Linked DNA regions of Schizosaccharomyces pombe. The gene in region 2 interacts genetically with the main gene of each other region. Each region holds a gene or a part of one and is shown on either strand. Other genes may lie near its edges.

Evidence for each region. A genetic interaction does not mean that the proteins touch.
Region 1: mutations in prp28 (region 2) and sol1 together harm fitness more than expected from each alone (negative genetic interaction), as found in Schizosaccharomyces pombe (one large-scale study listed by BioGRID).

What each region holds. Positions count from the first base shown.
Region 1 is NC_003423.3:1,306,793-1,315,727, forward strand, and holds sol1 (SWI/SNF complex subunit Sol1), read right to left. Parts: upstream 5,011-8,935; 5' UTR 4,933-5,010; coding exon 2,335-4,932; 3' UTR 2,280-2,334; downstream 1-2,279. Other genes in the region: karyopherin/importin beta family nuclear export signal receptor Kap109, read left to right, coding at 6,439-6,496, 6,546-8,935.
Region 2 is NC_003421.2:853,536-861,810, reverse strand, and holds prp28 (U5 snRNP-associated protein Prp28), read right to left. Parts: upstream 4,795-8,275; 5' UTR 4,659-4,794; coding exon 2,670-4,658; 3' UTR 2,519-2,669; downstream 1-2,518. Other genes in the region: SPOM_SPCC63.13 (DNAJ (Hsp40) chaperone family protein), read right to left, coding at 1-245; proteasome core particle subunit beta 3 Pup3, read left to right, coding at 1,418-2,032; dolichol kinase Sec59, read left to right, coding at 5,589-5,827, 5,885-7,160. UniProt on the Schizosaccharomyces pombe protein: ATP-dependent RNA helicase involved in mRNA splicing. May destabilize the U1/5'-splice site duplex to permit an effective competition for the 5'-splice site by the U6 snRNA, resulting in the switch between U1 and U6 at the 5'-splice site.

The sequences.
Region 1 (8,935 bases), on a different chromosome or scaffold from region 2:
AATTAAGTAAAAAAGGCTTGATTTCAGGAAAGATTTGATATAGTTGATGTATCTCGAATTACTTTATTTTGAAAAAAAGCAATGAATGCGATATTGCAAGAGAAATCATTCATCAAAATTTTTTCGTTATACAGAACAACAGCACAGTTAGTATTTCTTGATAATACTGATTACAATTAATATGGTTTTTTTTAGAACTAAAATTGATTACTAATTCATTCTTTGGTCTAATTTCTATATCGTTTTTCGAAAATTACTACTCCATTAATGTTTCTCTAGCTGTTTTATTTACTTACTTTAAATATTTCTCACTATAGCACGTGAGTGTAACGAGGTAACAAAATTGACTATATGAAACGAGAGTTAGTTTCAAAGAAAAGGAAAAGCAGGTAATTCTTTTACGGTCATTTATCATTGATTTTTTAGGTATAAAAAAATTTTGTGTCGAAGAGTTGTGAAATTTTTAATAGATTACTCAACACATGATTTTCTAGATGAGAACTGTAAAGTGTGTTCTTGGTTGTGAAAAGAAAACATATAACGATGAATAAAGAAAAATAAAAATCTCGCTGTCCTATTTAATGTACTTCCATTTTTCGCGTTTTAATATGTTATAAACACATATCGAATTTAAAAGTGTTGTAGAGTTGTTTTGTTATAGTTTGTTACATTACTCCAACTTGCTACTTTCTAAAACGTTCTGTCCATATACCGTACTGCAAACCTCACCACCGTAATGCGCAAAAGTGCATATTTGGACACAAGCGATGTCAACGGTTGCTACACACTTCTTCCCCAACCACTCACATCCTTCCAGAAATTTGAGGATGAAGCAGGGTTAGGGTTTTAAAAGGTATATATACCGATCAGACGCCTTCATAAGCCAACGTTCTACTTCCATGAGTCTGAAGGAGCCACATCAAATTAATATGCTAGGACGCCAAAGTAGTGGAGACAAGAGGTTTATTGATTGATTATCTGATGTTGAAAGGCTTAGGTTCTTATCGTAAATGGCTTGTATTTTGTGTGTTACATTTATTGATATTAGGATGGTTCTCCTTCAGGCTCTTGGAAAGCGTTCGCCTGTATCTGTGTTGTATTTTTTGGAGAGATTCTAGTCTGATTCTAGTCGTTTGATTGTACAGTATGTCTGTCGTGTATGGTTGCTTTATTGTTTTTCTGGGATTAAGTCATCTTGGTGCAGTAATTGGTACTGTGTTGGTAGAAAAACCTACCATATTCCTTTTTGCGCTTGCTGTGGTATCTTTTTGACTATAGTTTGAGATTAACTGGGTGTTAAAGCTTAGTAGGGGGTAAATCCCGTACGCATACTGAAACCTTGAACTCAAACTGAATCTTTGTCGTTCTTTAAGTGCCTTGTTAAACTTGTTTGTAAAGGTATGTTCGCCGTATGCTGATTGATGTCTGAGTACAACGAAGCTGTTCTGATGATATTATTATGTCTTCTTTACCCGTCCTATCGACTATGACGATAACTTTGTCTCCACTATAGGTGGAGACCATACTTGCCAGTATCTTCGATGTCTGAATTGTTTTCGTTGTTCCAGTATCTTAGTAATCTCTGTATTGTGTATAATCTTTCAGTGTACTAACTTCTTTTTTAGGTGTATTTGTGCGAAACTTTCAAATTTCTTGCTATGCTTAAACTCGCGAACTAAACGTGTATGTTCTGTATGGTGAAAATAATGTGTGTTTTTCGTGTAGCTACTCCTGTACGTACGAGTTATGGTGGAGATTGGACTTTACATCCTTTTAGTTATAAACATATATAGTGCTGTATTGCTTTTTGGATTGTTCGGCGAAGGTTTTTTTTTGCATTGATCAACAGGTGATGAAATTTCCATTGAACATTCGCAGTTTCCCCGGAGCGGCATACGAACCCAATTTTGCCGCAGATGTCGTGCATAGTCCTTCCTTTGGATGTCTGATGTTGATCTTGCAAATTTTTCCTTTTTTTTTTTTTAATTAAATTTTTTTGTGTTGTGTTTGGCTTGTAGTTGTAGTGGTGATAAAGGTTGATTATCATGTTCTCCAATATAGAGTAGTTAAACTTTTTCTTGTTGTGATGGAAATTGTAGTCTGGTTGATTTATTGAATTCAGTCTATTTAGAATTGCTTGAAAATACTCTTAATAAAATTGTTGCAATGCGTAGAATGGCAATTAACTCTACATAGGTTAAGTAGTCTTTCTATAAAGTAAATAAATCATCTCTAAAAATTTGAAAGCATGTTTAGACAATATACATACAGAAACGCATCAGATTAACTAGAATGAAGACAAAAATATTAAACGTTTGGAAAATTATCTACAAATTAAATGCCAGATTTATCATCCGTATTTTCTAAAGACGCATCACTGTCCCCAGTTCGATCCAATAAATTTGAGATCTCTTTTAGAAACGAGGTTTCTGTTGTAGGAGCCAGCAAAACAGCGAGGAGAGTTTCACTTTTGGGGAAAGAAGATAATGAAATATTTCCAGCTTCCACTAAGCTCAAAAGTCGACGCACCGTAGATATGCCACTCTGAATCACATAACGAAAAGGATTCGTAGTAGGATACTGCGATGCTACACGTGATGGTGGATTAAGGGAAGGATGACCTGATAATAGTATGAGTAGGCGTAACATGGAAACAAAAAATCCCTCGCCTATATTACACCAATTTGCCGCTTGTTCCGATTGTTTAACATAGGAAACGGTAGCTGCTAAACAAAAAAATGACTGCTGCAATAAGGGTAACCTTCGCTCGCATATTTTAAGGCAGTGGCGGTTAAATTTTGGGACAACAGAAGCAAGAAGTAGAAAAAGGGAGTCTAAAAATTTTGGATTGTTATCAAAAATAGCTTGAAAGTTTGTCTTGTTGTTAGCATCTTTGGCTAGTAATTTGGCATAGGCATTAATGGCGGGACCAGCATAGGGATGGGTAGCAGGTGTGTAACTAGGTATAGAGGTTGGAAGGGTGTCATTTAAAATAGTTTTACTCTTCTTTCTGTTAAATGGAGAAAAAGACAAAATAAATAGTAAAACGTGACGAGCAACGTCGACATTCGGTAGAATGAAATTTTGAGAAAGTTGACAAAGTACGATTAATACATCTTTATGCAAATCCAAGGTATTTCTTGATGAACGTAGAAGGGAAGTGGCATGAAAATTAAGACTTTTGACTACACGAATGAGTAGAGGAAAAAAATCTGGATTTTGTACCAAAACGTTTTGGTTGGCCTCAAAGTGAGAGAGATTTCTAAAAATAACGAAAACAGCTAACAAATTTTGCTCCGAATTATGAACATCAATAGCATTGATGCTATCTTTTGTTTTGTTTTCGCTTAGTGAATTTGAAAAGTCTTCTCTGGAGAACTGCGATATCTCTACGCAACAATTGTAAAGAAGTTGTCTATAAGAAGGACGTTTATCGGCGATTTCCATTAAATCCTCATTAGGAAGAACAGATAGCAGATTATCAAGGCACTGAGTTGCAACGTCAATCAACGCATCAACTACATCCTGGCACTCACTTAACGGAAACATCCATTTTTGATCATTTGTTAATATAAGTAAAACGTTCATTGCATACGTTATTTCTTTTTCCAAAGTAGATTGCAGGCTCATGCACAAGGCTTGAATGTTTACAGTCCCCAGATCTACGATTGAAGGCATCTGAAGCCGAAGCAAAGATTCATCGAGCCTATACGTGGCCGCGACATTCAAGGGATAACCCAACATAGGATCGATGGGCTTTTTTATCGGTTGATAAGCAACGGGTTCGGCAGAATCAACAGGAGCTGCCGAAGAAGAAGTTTGAACGGTGGGCGGAGTGGGTCGAGTCGGAGCAGAAGGGTATGGTGGAGCATTTCTTTCAGAACTAACTGTGGTAGGAGCAGCTGGAGAGAAACGATTAGCGGTGAATGCTGGGGAGGGTGACTTTGAGTGAAGTGATCCATGCATAGAACCATTGGCATGTACAGCTTCTGGGGTGGTTTGGACCGGCTTTTGTGGATAGTTTTTTGGTCTGCTTTGAACATTCGCAGAATGATTAGCTTTTGCTTGTTGAAGTGATTTTTGTTGCTGTTGAGCAGCAAGCCATGCTTCTTCATATGGAAGCAGATAGGAATTGTAATATTGAATTAGAAGGGAAATAGCATCAGGAGATGGAAACCCCAAGGAAGCAGAAATTTTTGGCCAAAAATTATGAGCTGAGACTTGTCGAGATCCACCGGCACGCATAACCAAGGCGTACAGCATCATTAAATTAATAGGCGTATTATTTATTTGAGGATAAGATTTGATTGGCGTCCCCCGCTTTTCCATAAAAGAAATAAGGCTAACCATGAATTTGTCAAAACTAGCAGCATAAGCAGGCGTTAGTTGATTAGCATTACCAGAGGGAGTATTTGGGGAAGGTGCAGGTTGAGGAGTTTGTCTTACAGCTGGGTGGGCATTGATGCCAATTTGATTAGGAGGAATTTGTTGAGAGAGTAAGGCCTCTCTGCTTTGCATTTGTCGTTGATAAAGTTGTTGCTGCTGTTGCTGTTGTTGTTGCTGCTGCATTGCAGCCTCTTTTTCTTGTTGAAACGGGATCCGACTTGAAGGCATCATGGGACTAGAGTATTTCACAGATCCAGAGCCATTCCATGCACCGTTAGAGGCGAAATCAAATGATTGATTTGGCAAATTACGTTGAGTTGATGGAGATTGTCGGAAGGGCTGTGAATGAGCCAAATTGTTAGGCTCATTCTCGGAAGTATTCATCATGTTTGCATTTCCATATTCTGCTGCATACATCCCTTGGCTTGTCGAAAAGCGTTGAGGATACGCAGGTTGTTCTTCCTGAGTATTATAACTTTGACCTTGCGTGGGATATGATACTGCGGTTGGATAATCACTCGCAGGAACAAACCCTTGATTATTCATGATTCCTCATACTAAATCAAACAAAGAGTAAAGGGACCTTAAAATACACGTTTCAATATATTAACGTCTAAGGCGCTTGGCAGCTGAAAGTGCTTGAAAAGCAGACGAAGTGCATATAACGAGTTGTTTAGTGCTGCCTTTAAGAACCTAATCTGTGTGTTTCAGAAAATGCTTAAATTCCTAAAAAATCTTTACACTCATTCCTTTAAATCTCGCAAACGTGATTTCTTGCCTTTGCAGTGTCTCTTATTTCCAAGTCAATGACAATTGTTAGCATTGGGAAGCATTTATCGATTAGTCAGGTATCTAAAATTTTAAAAACAAAATAATATCTTATTCCTCTTGTAATAGAAACAATATTTATTAACTTGCTCTGTTAGTAGACTTGGCGAAACTGTAAACAATCACGAGTACAACATCTTCTTCTTGCGGAAACAGATATTTTTTTAATAAATTATTTTTTTTTTTTTTAAAATAGTAAAAGCATATGAGTTAACATATTCGAGATCCCGTTATCCTCCTTTTCTTTCTTTTTTTTTTTTTTTTTTTTTTGAAAGGAGCAATCAAAATTGACACATTAATTCAAATTTATCTGGTCTAACCTTTTTTTTATTTTTTATTCATTATTTTTCCTTCTTTCTTTCTGGCTACATAAGACTCGACGCAATGTCATTTTATAAATTTCATTGTTTTCTATAAACGTGCTTTCATATGTGTAAACCTATTGATGAATGAAACAAGATAGTAGAATATGGTAATTTCTATTATCAAGCAATTGGATTTAGGTTGTTGAACTCTATGGACAAGGGCTTGTACGTGTAAAATATATATGTTTATGACTTAATTATTTACTTTTGCAAATCTATGGTTTCAAGTCAACTCGCAAAAGGAATATCCGATTCAAGAAGGAAAAAAACTAAATACTACAATAAAAAAAGGTTTGTAGTATTTGAGATAAAGATGGAGATGCTATATTGCACATGTAGAATTTGATGGCATAAACAAGAATTAGATTTGAAACAAAAGTCAACTAACACAACTTTCAAGTCCACGTATAAAGCGATTTCTATTCTGACGGTTCATAAAATGTTTAATGAGCTTGCAAACTAAAACCAAGTAATTCGGAAATTAGGTATTTACAAGCTGATAATTAAAATGTGAACCCTTGAATTATTGATAATGAATTATAGATTTTATTAGTTTTAATTCCTTTTTTAAGTAATTTATCAAGTATAGTCCAACTATTTATTTACAAATATTGGTATATTAGGGTGTTTTAATAGAAAAAAAAACAAAAATTAAGCGAAGAAAAGTATTACATTAACAAGCCTGAAAAAGAAGCAAACAAACTAATTAAAAGATGTTAACTATATCAAACTTAAGAGAAAATTATTTAATAAATAAAACCGGAATTAAAAATTCTCTATAACGATGTTAGAGAAATTGTTCTAGTTACGTCGGTGTCCTTCAAAATCTGCCCTTAACCACAATCCCTGTAGGAAAACTATGGATGACATTCCAACTCTTCTTGCGAGAACATTAAACCCTACGACTTCCAAAAGTGGTAAGATACCCCAACAGAGTGGATAAAGCAAATTTACTAACTGATATAGCTGAGGAAGCACTGAAAGTATGGGAATTACAAGATAGTTCTTTTGCACTAAAACTCCTCAATATTGTCGCTGAGGATACAGTAGACATCAATATTAAGCTGGCCGCTTCATTGTATTTCAAAAATTACATTAAAAAACATTGGGATTCTGAGGAAGGTGCTTCTATTCGTATCAGCGATGAGGTGGCAGAATTGATCAAACGCGAAATAATCAACTTGATGCTGAAAAGTACTACCATTATTCAAGTTCAGCTAGGTGAAGTAATTGGTTATATTGCCAACTTTGATTTCCCTGATCGGTGGGACACTCTTCTCCCCGATCTGATATCTAAATTGTCTGCTGTTGACATGAACACGAATATTGCTGTACTTTCTACTGCACATGCGATTTTTAAGCGCTGGAGACCTTTATTCCGTAGCGATGCACTTTTTTTGGAGATCAAATATGTGTTGGATCGTTTTTGCGAACCATTTCTCGCTCTCTTCGTGCAAACCAACAACTTATTGCGTAACGGTCCACAAGATGCAGAGTCTCTTAACAGTTTATTTCAGGTTATCCTTTTGGAGTGTAAACTTTTTTATGATTTGAATTGCCAAGACATTCCGGAATTCTTTGAAGATCATATGAGCGAATTCATGACCGCCTTCTTAAACTACTTTACCTACACTAACCCCAGCTTGGAGGGTGACGAAGGAGAGACAAATGTCCTTATTAAAGTTAAAGCAAGTATTTGTGAAATCGTCGAGCTATATACCCTTCGATACGAAGAGGTGTTTACCATGTTGTATGACTTCGTCAACGTAACATGGACACTTTTGACAACCTTGACTCCTGATGAAAAATACGATGGTTTAGTTGGTAAGGCTATGGCATTTTTGACATCCGTCATTAGAATTCGCAAGCATGCCGAGTTTTTCCAGCAAGACCAAGTTTTACAACAATTCATTGAACTCGTCGTTCTTCCTAATATATGTTTGCGGGAATCTGATGAAGAATTATTTGAAGACGATCCTTTAGAATATGTCCGCCGTGATCTTGAAGGTTCGAACAGTGATTCTCGCGCCAGATCCGCAATCGTTCTTGTTCGTGGACTTTTGGATCACTTTGATCAAAAAATTACGAGTGTAGTCTCAACTCACATCAATGCTAATCTTCAACAATTCTCAACAAATCCTTCTCTTGAATGGAATAAAAAATACGTAGCGCTTCAGCTCTTTTCGGCTATTGCTATAAAGGGTCAATCCACAAGACTCGGCGTTACATCTATTAATTTGATGGTAGACGTTGTTGCTTTTTTCGAGAATAATATTAAGCCGGATCTTTTACAACCTGCTGGCGTCATTCATCCCATGGTTCTTGCCGAGGATATTAAATATGTATTTACATTTCGCAACCAGCTAAATTCCCAACAGCTTATTGACATTTTCCCTACAATTTTACGCTTTTTGGAAATGCCCAGCTTTGTCGTTTACACATACGCTGCAATAGCATTAGATCAGTTGCTGACTGTTCGTCATAATCATGTTCATATCTTTACAAGTTTACTAATTGCTCCACACATATTACCCGCTCTAAATCAACTTTTCCTAATTGTGGAATCTGCATCCACACCACAAAAACTTGCCGAAAATGATTATCTAATGAAAGCAGTAATGCGAATTATTATTATGTCTCAAGAAGCCATTCTTCCAGCTGCTAGCCTTCTTCTTCAGCACCTCACAAAAATTACGGAAGAGGTTAGCAAGAATCCTTCCAATCCAAAATTTAACCACTATCTCTTCGAATCTATTGGTGCACTTATTCGTAGTTTATCTAAATCTGGTCCCCAAACCGTCTCTCAACTGGAAAATGCCCTACTTCCAGTCTTTCAAAATGTGCTTATAGAAGATGTTACTGAGTTTATTCCGTATGTCCTACAACTGCTATCTCAATTAGTTGAAGCTAGTGGCAATGAACCTCTTCCTGACTTTGTTGTCAATCTCATACAGCCGTGTTTATCTCCAGCTTTATGGGATTCAAAGGGTAATATACCTGCCTTAGTTCGCCTATTACGGGCAATGATATTTCGTGGTCCTCAGATATTTATTTCCAATAAGTTTGTTGAACCGGTTTTGGGAATTTTCCAAAAATTGATTTCTTCAAAGGTTAATGATCATTTTGGGTTTGATCTCTTGGACCGAGTTTTCACAGTTTTCAATGCTAACATACTTGCGCCTTATATCAACCACATATTCTTTTTGCTGTTAAGCAGATTAAAAAACTCGAGGACTGAGCGTTTCGTTCTGCGATGCACGATTTTCTTCTTTTTTGTTGCTTCTGAGCAAACGGGTACTTGCGGCCCAGATAATTTGATCCAAGGTGTTGATGCAGTCCAGTCTGGAGTATTTGGC
Region 2 (8,275 bases):
AACGATTGTCTTGGTTTAGCAGAGGAAGAGGCACTTTCACGATCGTACTGAGCTCGTCGAGAATTGTCACTTAAGACGTAGTATGCTTCGTTCACCAGCTGAAATTGTTCAGTGGCTCGAGCACGAGCACTGGGCGATACTCTATCAGGGTGCGTCTCCAGAGCAGCCTTTTTATACGCATATTTTATCTCCTCAGCACTGGCTTTGGGGGTGATGTTGAGAATGGCATAGTAGTCTTTGAACATGGTAGTTGGAGGAATACGTATACCACACGATTTCAGCAATATGAGCCTCTCAAATATCGCAGTGGTGCAAAATTCGGTGTGCTGAATAACGAACTTAATAAACGTGGTATATCGCATAGGGACGGGTTATACCACGTTATATAGATACCGATAGGTTAATTTGTGTTATGCTAATTAGCGATGTTATGTGCGATATCTTATCGGAGTGTTGGATAGAAAGAAGACAAAGTATGGGAATTTCTTTGGCAAATAGGATTGAAAGGAAGCTCAAGTCAAATTTTTCACTTCCGGATGTTTATTTATATCTTTTGGATTTAGAGTCCTTGATAAAGATGACTTTGAATAAACAACAAAAGAACGGTTAAAAATACCTTTTTTAACCCAATTTTTGTCTTTCCCGCTATAGCGATATTTCTTGCATTTGTATGGTTGTATGATTACAGTCCTAACAATCCTTCATCGAGTTAGCTATATGGCATTATTTACTTTTAATTCTCTTAGACTACTTTCTTCTAAAGCGCAGCTAACGCAGTTTAATGTACACTGATAAAATGAAATGATCGGTTTATTGAGTTTTTACAAGGGTATGTCGAGCATGTGCGCCGTTATTCCTTCTCAAGCTATCTTGCTGTTGCTAGATCGCAGAGACTGATGAAATGGTTGTTGAAGATATTTGCTACGCTGGTGGTGCCAAAGTAGTTAGATTGAAGTTCGCTTGATATTCCTTTAAAATGTGATCGCTCGGTAATGCACAGACTACGACGTGGCAGTATGGCACAGCCAAAGCGTAGCAGCACTAGTGCCATTCCAACATTCTCGTTAGAGGAAGCTATTTCAGGGAGACTTATTCTTCTCTCATTAAATATTATTCAATAGTCTAAGTGATACCTCTGAACACCTTTTTATTGTGAACTTTACGATCTATCATTTTCACTTCTTATACCTCTTTATTATGGATATCGTAAAAAGTCAATAGTGATTTTTTAAAGGAAGGGCTCTAGTAATACGATATACTCCTTGCATCGCTAAACATACGGTAAATCAAACTATCGCATCCTATCCAATACGGTATTTGGTTATTGTGCGCTCGCGATAACATATCATCTGTGGTTATTCGTGTGCTTCTTTTGTCAGCAAGAACCTTTCCTCATACAAACAGTGAATCCTACAAAATGAGTATTATGGAATATAATGGTGGTTCATGCGTAGCCATGGCAGGTAAAAACTGCGTGGCTATTGCATCGGACTTGCGGTTGGGTGTTCAGTCAATTTCTTTGACCAACAACTTTCCTAAGGTGTTTGCGATGGGTGACAAAACGTATTTGGGACTGACGGGTCTTGCTACGGATGTTCAGACGCTTTATGAGTTATTTCGGTACAAAGTGAACCTTTACAAATTCCGCGAAGAGCGTCAAATTCAACCCAAGACATTTGCTAATTTGGTTTCTTCCACCCTTTACGAAAAAAGATTTGGTCCCTATTTCTCATTCCCAGTAGTTGCTGGTGTATCTAATGACAATACCCCGTTTATCTGTGGATTCGATTCCATTGGATGCATCGATTTTGCAGAGGATTTCATCGTTTCTGGAACCGCTACAGAACAACTTTATGGTATGTGTGAGTCTGTATACGAGCCCAATTTAGAGCCTGACGATCTCTTTGAGACTATCTCCCAAGCTTTACTTAACGCCCAAGATCGTGATTGTATTAGTGGATGGGGCTGTGTCGTTTATGTTATCACCGCAGACAAATGTATCAAACGACTTGTTAAGGGTCGCCAAGATTAAGCACTTTCACGATTACGATCTTTCGTTTTCATCTAGATTCTTTCATCATTTTAATGTAAGTCTTGCTACGAAATTTTAAAAAATTAAATTAGGATACATTTTTTCATGAGGCATGATTTAGACCAGTTTCTGACAATCCCTTCGGAATGGAAACTTCAATGAAGTTGTTCGTAGCAATATGATAACGATTATACTCGCCTTTTTTTGCTCAGCCTTTGTGGATATCCGAGCTTGAACTGTCATCCTTTCTTTTAGCTTGTGAGCATTTTCAATAATCAAAATTTTCCTAAATGGTTATTGTACAAGTAAAACTCTTATCGTATACAAGCAGGGTGTACTTTCTTCTGTACGTTTTATTAGTGCGAAATTTTATCCATTAAATACACACAATGCATAGATGCTTGTAAATAATTTTCGTACATGCAGTAGACTAAGACTAAGGATTGCTTGCTGTAAGCACACTTACAAGGATTTAAGAAATAAACTAACTTTTTCAATTGTTGAAGTCATTAAATTAGAAACTGTTTATATACAAGAAAACTTTATAATAAATCACTAAATCATATTTCAGCATAGTGTAACGTACAAAAAGGCCATTATAAAGTGCCCATTCAATGTTATGCTCCAAAGACAATATTTACTGGGTGATTGCTGCATGTCTAACAAATGCTGCTTCATGATTCCGTAATTCATCAGGAATATGTGCTTTCGCGCTTCGGCTTAATAACACGCGTAAATCATAATATACATCAGTATCCTCTGGTCCCAAAAACGTTATTGCTGTACCAGATTTTCCTGCACGACCTGTACGACCAATTCTATGGGTATAGTCTTCAATGCTTTTAGCCATGTTGTAATTCAATACCAAAGAGACATTAGGTATATCAATACCACGACCTGCAATGTCAGTTGCAACAAGAATATCAGCCGTCTTATTCCTTAACTGTTCGATAGCTCGCTCTCTCTGTTCTTGACTTTTACTGCCATGAAGAGTAACAGCATGCCAACCAATGGCATTTAATTGCTTCGCAATAGCCTCGATATTACGCTTGAGATTTACAAATATGATAATAGGAGGTGAAAATCGATTAGATTCCAAAATCTCCTCAACTCTTCTCCATTTTTTGCTATCGTCAGATATCATCTCAACACGCTGTTCAACGCGGTCAACTGCCTGGCCAATGTTTCCAATAGTTAACATCACTGGTTCAATTAAATAGCTCTTTGCCAAATTAGCAACACGTGGGGGTAAGGTCGCACTGAACATAATGGTTTGACGTCTTGACGAAGAGGAATTTGCAGTAGCAAGAATTGACCCATCCTTTTCAGAAGCATTTGAGGAAGGGAGTGATGACAAAATTTTATTAACATCATCTTCAAATCCCATGTCAAGCATCCTATCCGCCTCGTCCATTACAACATAAGTGCATTGGCTGAGAACAAATAGCCGTCTTTCAAGACAATCAAGAAGACGACCAGGAGTAGCTACAACTATATGAGCACCTTGACTCATTTGAAATGATTGCTCTTCAAAAGCATGACCACCAACGACAGAAACACACCGGAAACCCAAAGGTTCCGCAAACTTGTTGCCTTCCACTTGAATTTGCTGGGCCAATTCACGTGTTGGTGCTAAAACTACAGCATATGGGCCAAGATGCATGTTTGATTCGGTTAATGGGGGCAATTTTGATATGGCAATTATGAGAGGGATTATAAAGGCGGCAGTCTTACCACTACCAGTTTCGGCAATTCCAATTAAATCTTTACGCTGTAGTAAAACAGGTATGGCTGCCCTTTGAATAGAACTTGGTTCTTTATAGTTAACTTTCTTCAAAACTTTAAGCATCTCACTTGGTAAGCCTGCTTCTTCCCAATTTCTTAAAGGATTTGGTAAATCATCCCCTTTAATGGATATATTATAATCTTCCTTGAGGATTCTCCAGTCTCTGGGTTTCATGGCTTCCAATGGCTTTTCCCTCCATGGCACATCGTCCCAATCTATTTTTTTGGCTCGTTTTTCTTGAAGCTGAATCAACTCGTGTGCGCGAGCCTTATCCTGCTCCGTTCCTTGAAGCAAACGCTGAATCAAACCAGAATTACTTTTCGCTTTTCGAATCGACTGGTCATCAAATCCGCCTAATTTCCCCCTTCCAAATACAGCAATTGTAGCCTCAGGTGATGCCGAGGTTTCCGCATCCTTCATGGTATCGTCTGTGGCGTCCCAATCAAATACAAATTTTTTATCAGCATTTCTTCTTCTTTTTTTTACCACAGGAGGCTTTATACCCATGTACCTTTGACGAATGGTCATGCTGAATGCTTCGTCCGTTGCGGAGCTCTCTGTGCCACTGTTATTGCTAGATACAGAGGATACCTGGGATTTTTTTTCATCATCTGCTAATTCATTATTTTCTAAATGATTGGTAAAAGTCCTTTTTCTTAAATCTAATAATTTGTCATTCTGTTTTGCTTTCGCTTCTTCAACCTCTTTTTGTCGTCTTTCAAGGGCCAATCGAGCTCTTTCAGCTTTGGATAAAAACTTTGGTCTCGCCGCCTTCTCTTCCTTAACTCTTTTTTGCTGAACAAGCTGCTCCAGCGAAGGTATAGAGTCTTGCGCTGTCATGAACACGCTTCAAAAGAAAAAGACTTTTACGATACTCACAATTCTTCTATTTTTCTAGGATATCAATCCCAAATAATACAAAAGAAATGAATAGACCTGTCTTTAAACTAAACAATCCTTCAATGAACGTGTTGGTGTTATGCAAATGACAAAATCGTGTTTTAAATATACCTGCAGTATAGCGTGGTTGCCAAACTCATCGTAATTCAATATATGTTTTAAAAATCCAATGTAAATAAATGGCTCATTTTTATCAAGGTTCATTTTACATTAAAGAATGTTCATTCTTTGTAATAAAAACGATATAGATTCTAGTGAATTTGAAGGCATTTCTGGTTACTTACAGAAATTGTTCTAAAAATTGACTGGGAAACCCATTTGGCTGCTAGAAAAGGCGCATTAAATTGCTTTATAAATCCCAATTGTTTTACAAATTCATTTAATTCTTTTTACTCTTATTTCAACAAGTTTATGAAATTCATTCAAACAAACTATGATCATTCTTTCAAATCAACGTTTTACTACTAGGCTGACAGTTTCAATATTTCAATGTTCTCAACTTATTGTAGTACTTAATGAGAGAGAGAAATTAGTTTATCTTCAAGATATAAACAAATCCTCAATTTTCTTATTGAAATGAATCTTGATCGTAATATTCGATGTAACAGTTGTCTCCATATAGTACTTTACTGGTAATATCAACACCTCCTACAAACGCTTTCCTCTAAACCGATTAAAGTTGAAATTACTGGAGGTTGTTAATTCTTAAACATTTAAAAAACGCTTTCCTAATAAAAATACTTGAGAATCTGATGTTTTGGTTATAAGAGTACTTAGCAATCTAACGATTTTTTGCAATTGTTGCTATTTAGCAAATCCTCTGTTAATGAAAAACATCATTTCTGTTGGCTAACTGTTTGTTGATTTTTAATGTATATAATGTCGAAAAAATGTTATGATACGTCGGAAAAGATTGATCGTGAGCAAGAATGTGTTGAAGTGAATTATCAACATCGGAATTTTGAAAGTATTTTGGAAATATTTTCAGTTTTATTCATTCCTTTCTTATGCAACTCTGGCAAAAAGTTCCTCCAAATTTCAAATGCGTCCTTTTTTTTACCTGCATGCTTTTATTTATTGGGTTCGTCTAGCATAATCCAGCTATATGAGTACGATTTTACGAACAATTAAATTTTTAAACTTAAGTCAACTAACTCATTATTTAGGCCGTTATTGTGGTTATCATCGTTTCCCTTTTGTATCCTCTATGTCGGCTTTGGAGAAAACTCTGTCTTGTATCATGAGATGTACACGGTATGTCTTTACAACGCTCTTTTGTCCTTAACACAAAGATGGAAATGGCTCTCTATTGTTTTAGATGGACTGGGTAATTCGAGTGTTAATTTAAAACTTCACGAAACGGTCATCCTTGCCTTTCTTGAAATTACACAAAACAGTTTTACCTTCATTGAAGGCATTTTAATTTGTACCGGACTTACAGGTCTTTGTTTTGCTACATTTTCGTATGAAGTATCTCCTGTAGTTTCAGTGCTATCGGGAGTTTTACTCATTTCCTTACCTACACTCATTTTGTTAAACCTTTGCATATTAAAGCTTGCTGCTAAATTACATTTATCGGCACTCTTTACTACTTGTTTAATTTATTTCTTTAGCGCTTTGCTCGTATTTTTAGTGTCCAGGTCATGGGTTGCTGGGCAACTTGGACAAGCACCTGAAGTATGGTTGTTCAACCAAATTTTTTCGCATAGGAATTCCCTAACGAGGATTAAAATAATTATTTGGTGGATAATTTGCCTTGGTTGTTTTATTTTTATTCTTCTGCGAAGCAACCGTAATAATCCACTTGGCAAATACTTTACCACTGAAGATGAAGTGCTGAACTTTCGTAGAAAGACATATCATGCTTTGGTTGTCTTTTTATTTCTTCCGGTTTGTTGCTTAGATCCTCATTTTCTCCACCTGTCTTTTTCGGGAGTTTTATTCATATTTCTGTTTGTTGAAGGTATACGCATACTTCGTCTTAAGCCATTTGGAAAAATGATCCATGAATTTTTATGGGAGTATACCGATAACAGGGATCACAAGGGCCCCTTGATTATTTCCCATATATATCTTTTAATTGGTTGTGCAATTCCTATTTGGCTTTCGAATGCTTTAAAAGGTCCTGTTGCGTCGGTTGAATTACTGGTTGGTGTTTTATGTTTAGGGTGTGGAGATTCTATGGCTAGCATAATTGGGAAAAGGTTCGGAAAACATAGGATCTCAAAAACGAATAAAAGTATTGAGGGGGTATTTGCCTTTTCAATCTCAGTGTTTCTCGTTTTACACTTGACGCAAGCTTTTCATGTGTGTCCTTCAGTAACGTTTTGGAAAACGCTGTTTATGTCCTTATGTACGGCCATTTTGGAAGGTGTCTCAACGGAGAATGACAATCTCATACTTCCAATGTACATGTGGGTATTGTATCAAGCCTTGGATTAAGAATGTTTAATTCCATAAAATATTTTGCAACATCAAAGTAAAATATCTCATAACTCTGATGCTTTGCAAATGACAAACAAAAGAAAAATACATATATGTGCTTATATATGAAAAAATAAACCAAAGATGTAATTCTTTGCATATTCTCTTTGTTACTAATTCGACGTAAATAGATTTCCTTTAATAAAATAAAAAGAAAAATTTTACGTATTGCCAGGCCTATCATTAAATCATAATCACCTTAACAACAGCATCCACTGAGAATACTGTTTACAAAAAACCAACGTGAGCAAAAAAAAGATGGCAGATGTGACTATGAAACGAATAAAACTAAAACGGACTATAAATTTCGGTAAAAATGATATTACAAAATATATGTATATATAGTTTTGCTATTCAATCAGTCATATATTTAAAGGTAATTGACTATTACAGTTCGCATATTTAGGAAGATCAAAATATTCATTTATTGAGAAATGTATAACAACGAGTATCTGAGCGGATATCGTGGCACAATTTTAAGTAGAATAGGTTGCTTCGAAACGAACAGTATATTATTTTTGCTTGCTTAAAATTAATTAAACAGTGTACGACTCGGAGCATAAGCATTTTAATTCCATTTATTAATTTTCCAAATTTCCTAGAAAATAATAGATTAAAAAAAAATTCATTAATTTATTTATTGCTACAAAATCAAAATTTTGATTAACTTATTATTTTTACTTTATTTTTTTTTATTTTTTGTTTCAAACTTCATTGCAGTATTATTGGCAACAAGCACTTATATTCAGTTTCAAAACTTTTTTTATTTTATATTCTCGAATTAATTTATTTATTTTATTATCACGCAAATACAAAATTAAACTATTCATGGTGAGAAGGTGAATTTTTTATAACGTTGCTTGTTTTCAGTAGCGTTTTCGCTAATGTTGACTTTAAAGTCTGTTTTAGAAATTTGGATTCCACAACCAATCTCGTATATATCAATAAAGAGAAAAGCAACATATTATGATTGGAAATTTTCTTTTAATTTTCTGCAAGAGAGTTCTTACCTTCCATTATGGTCTTCAAGTCCTCAGGGCATGTTTGAATACTAGTCATTGCCCAATTCCCTG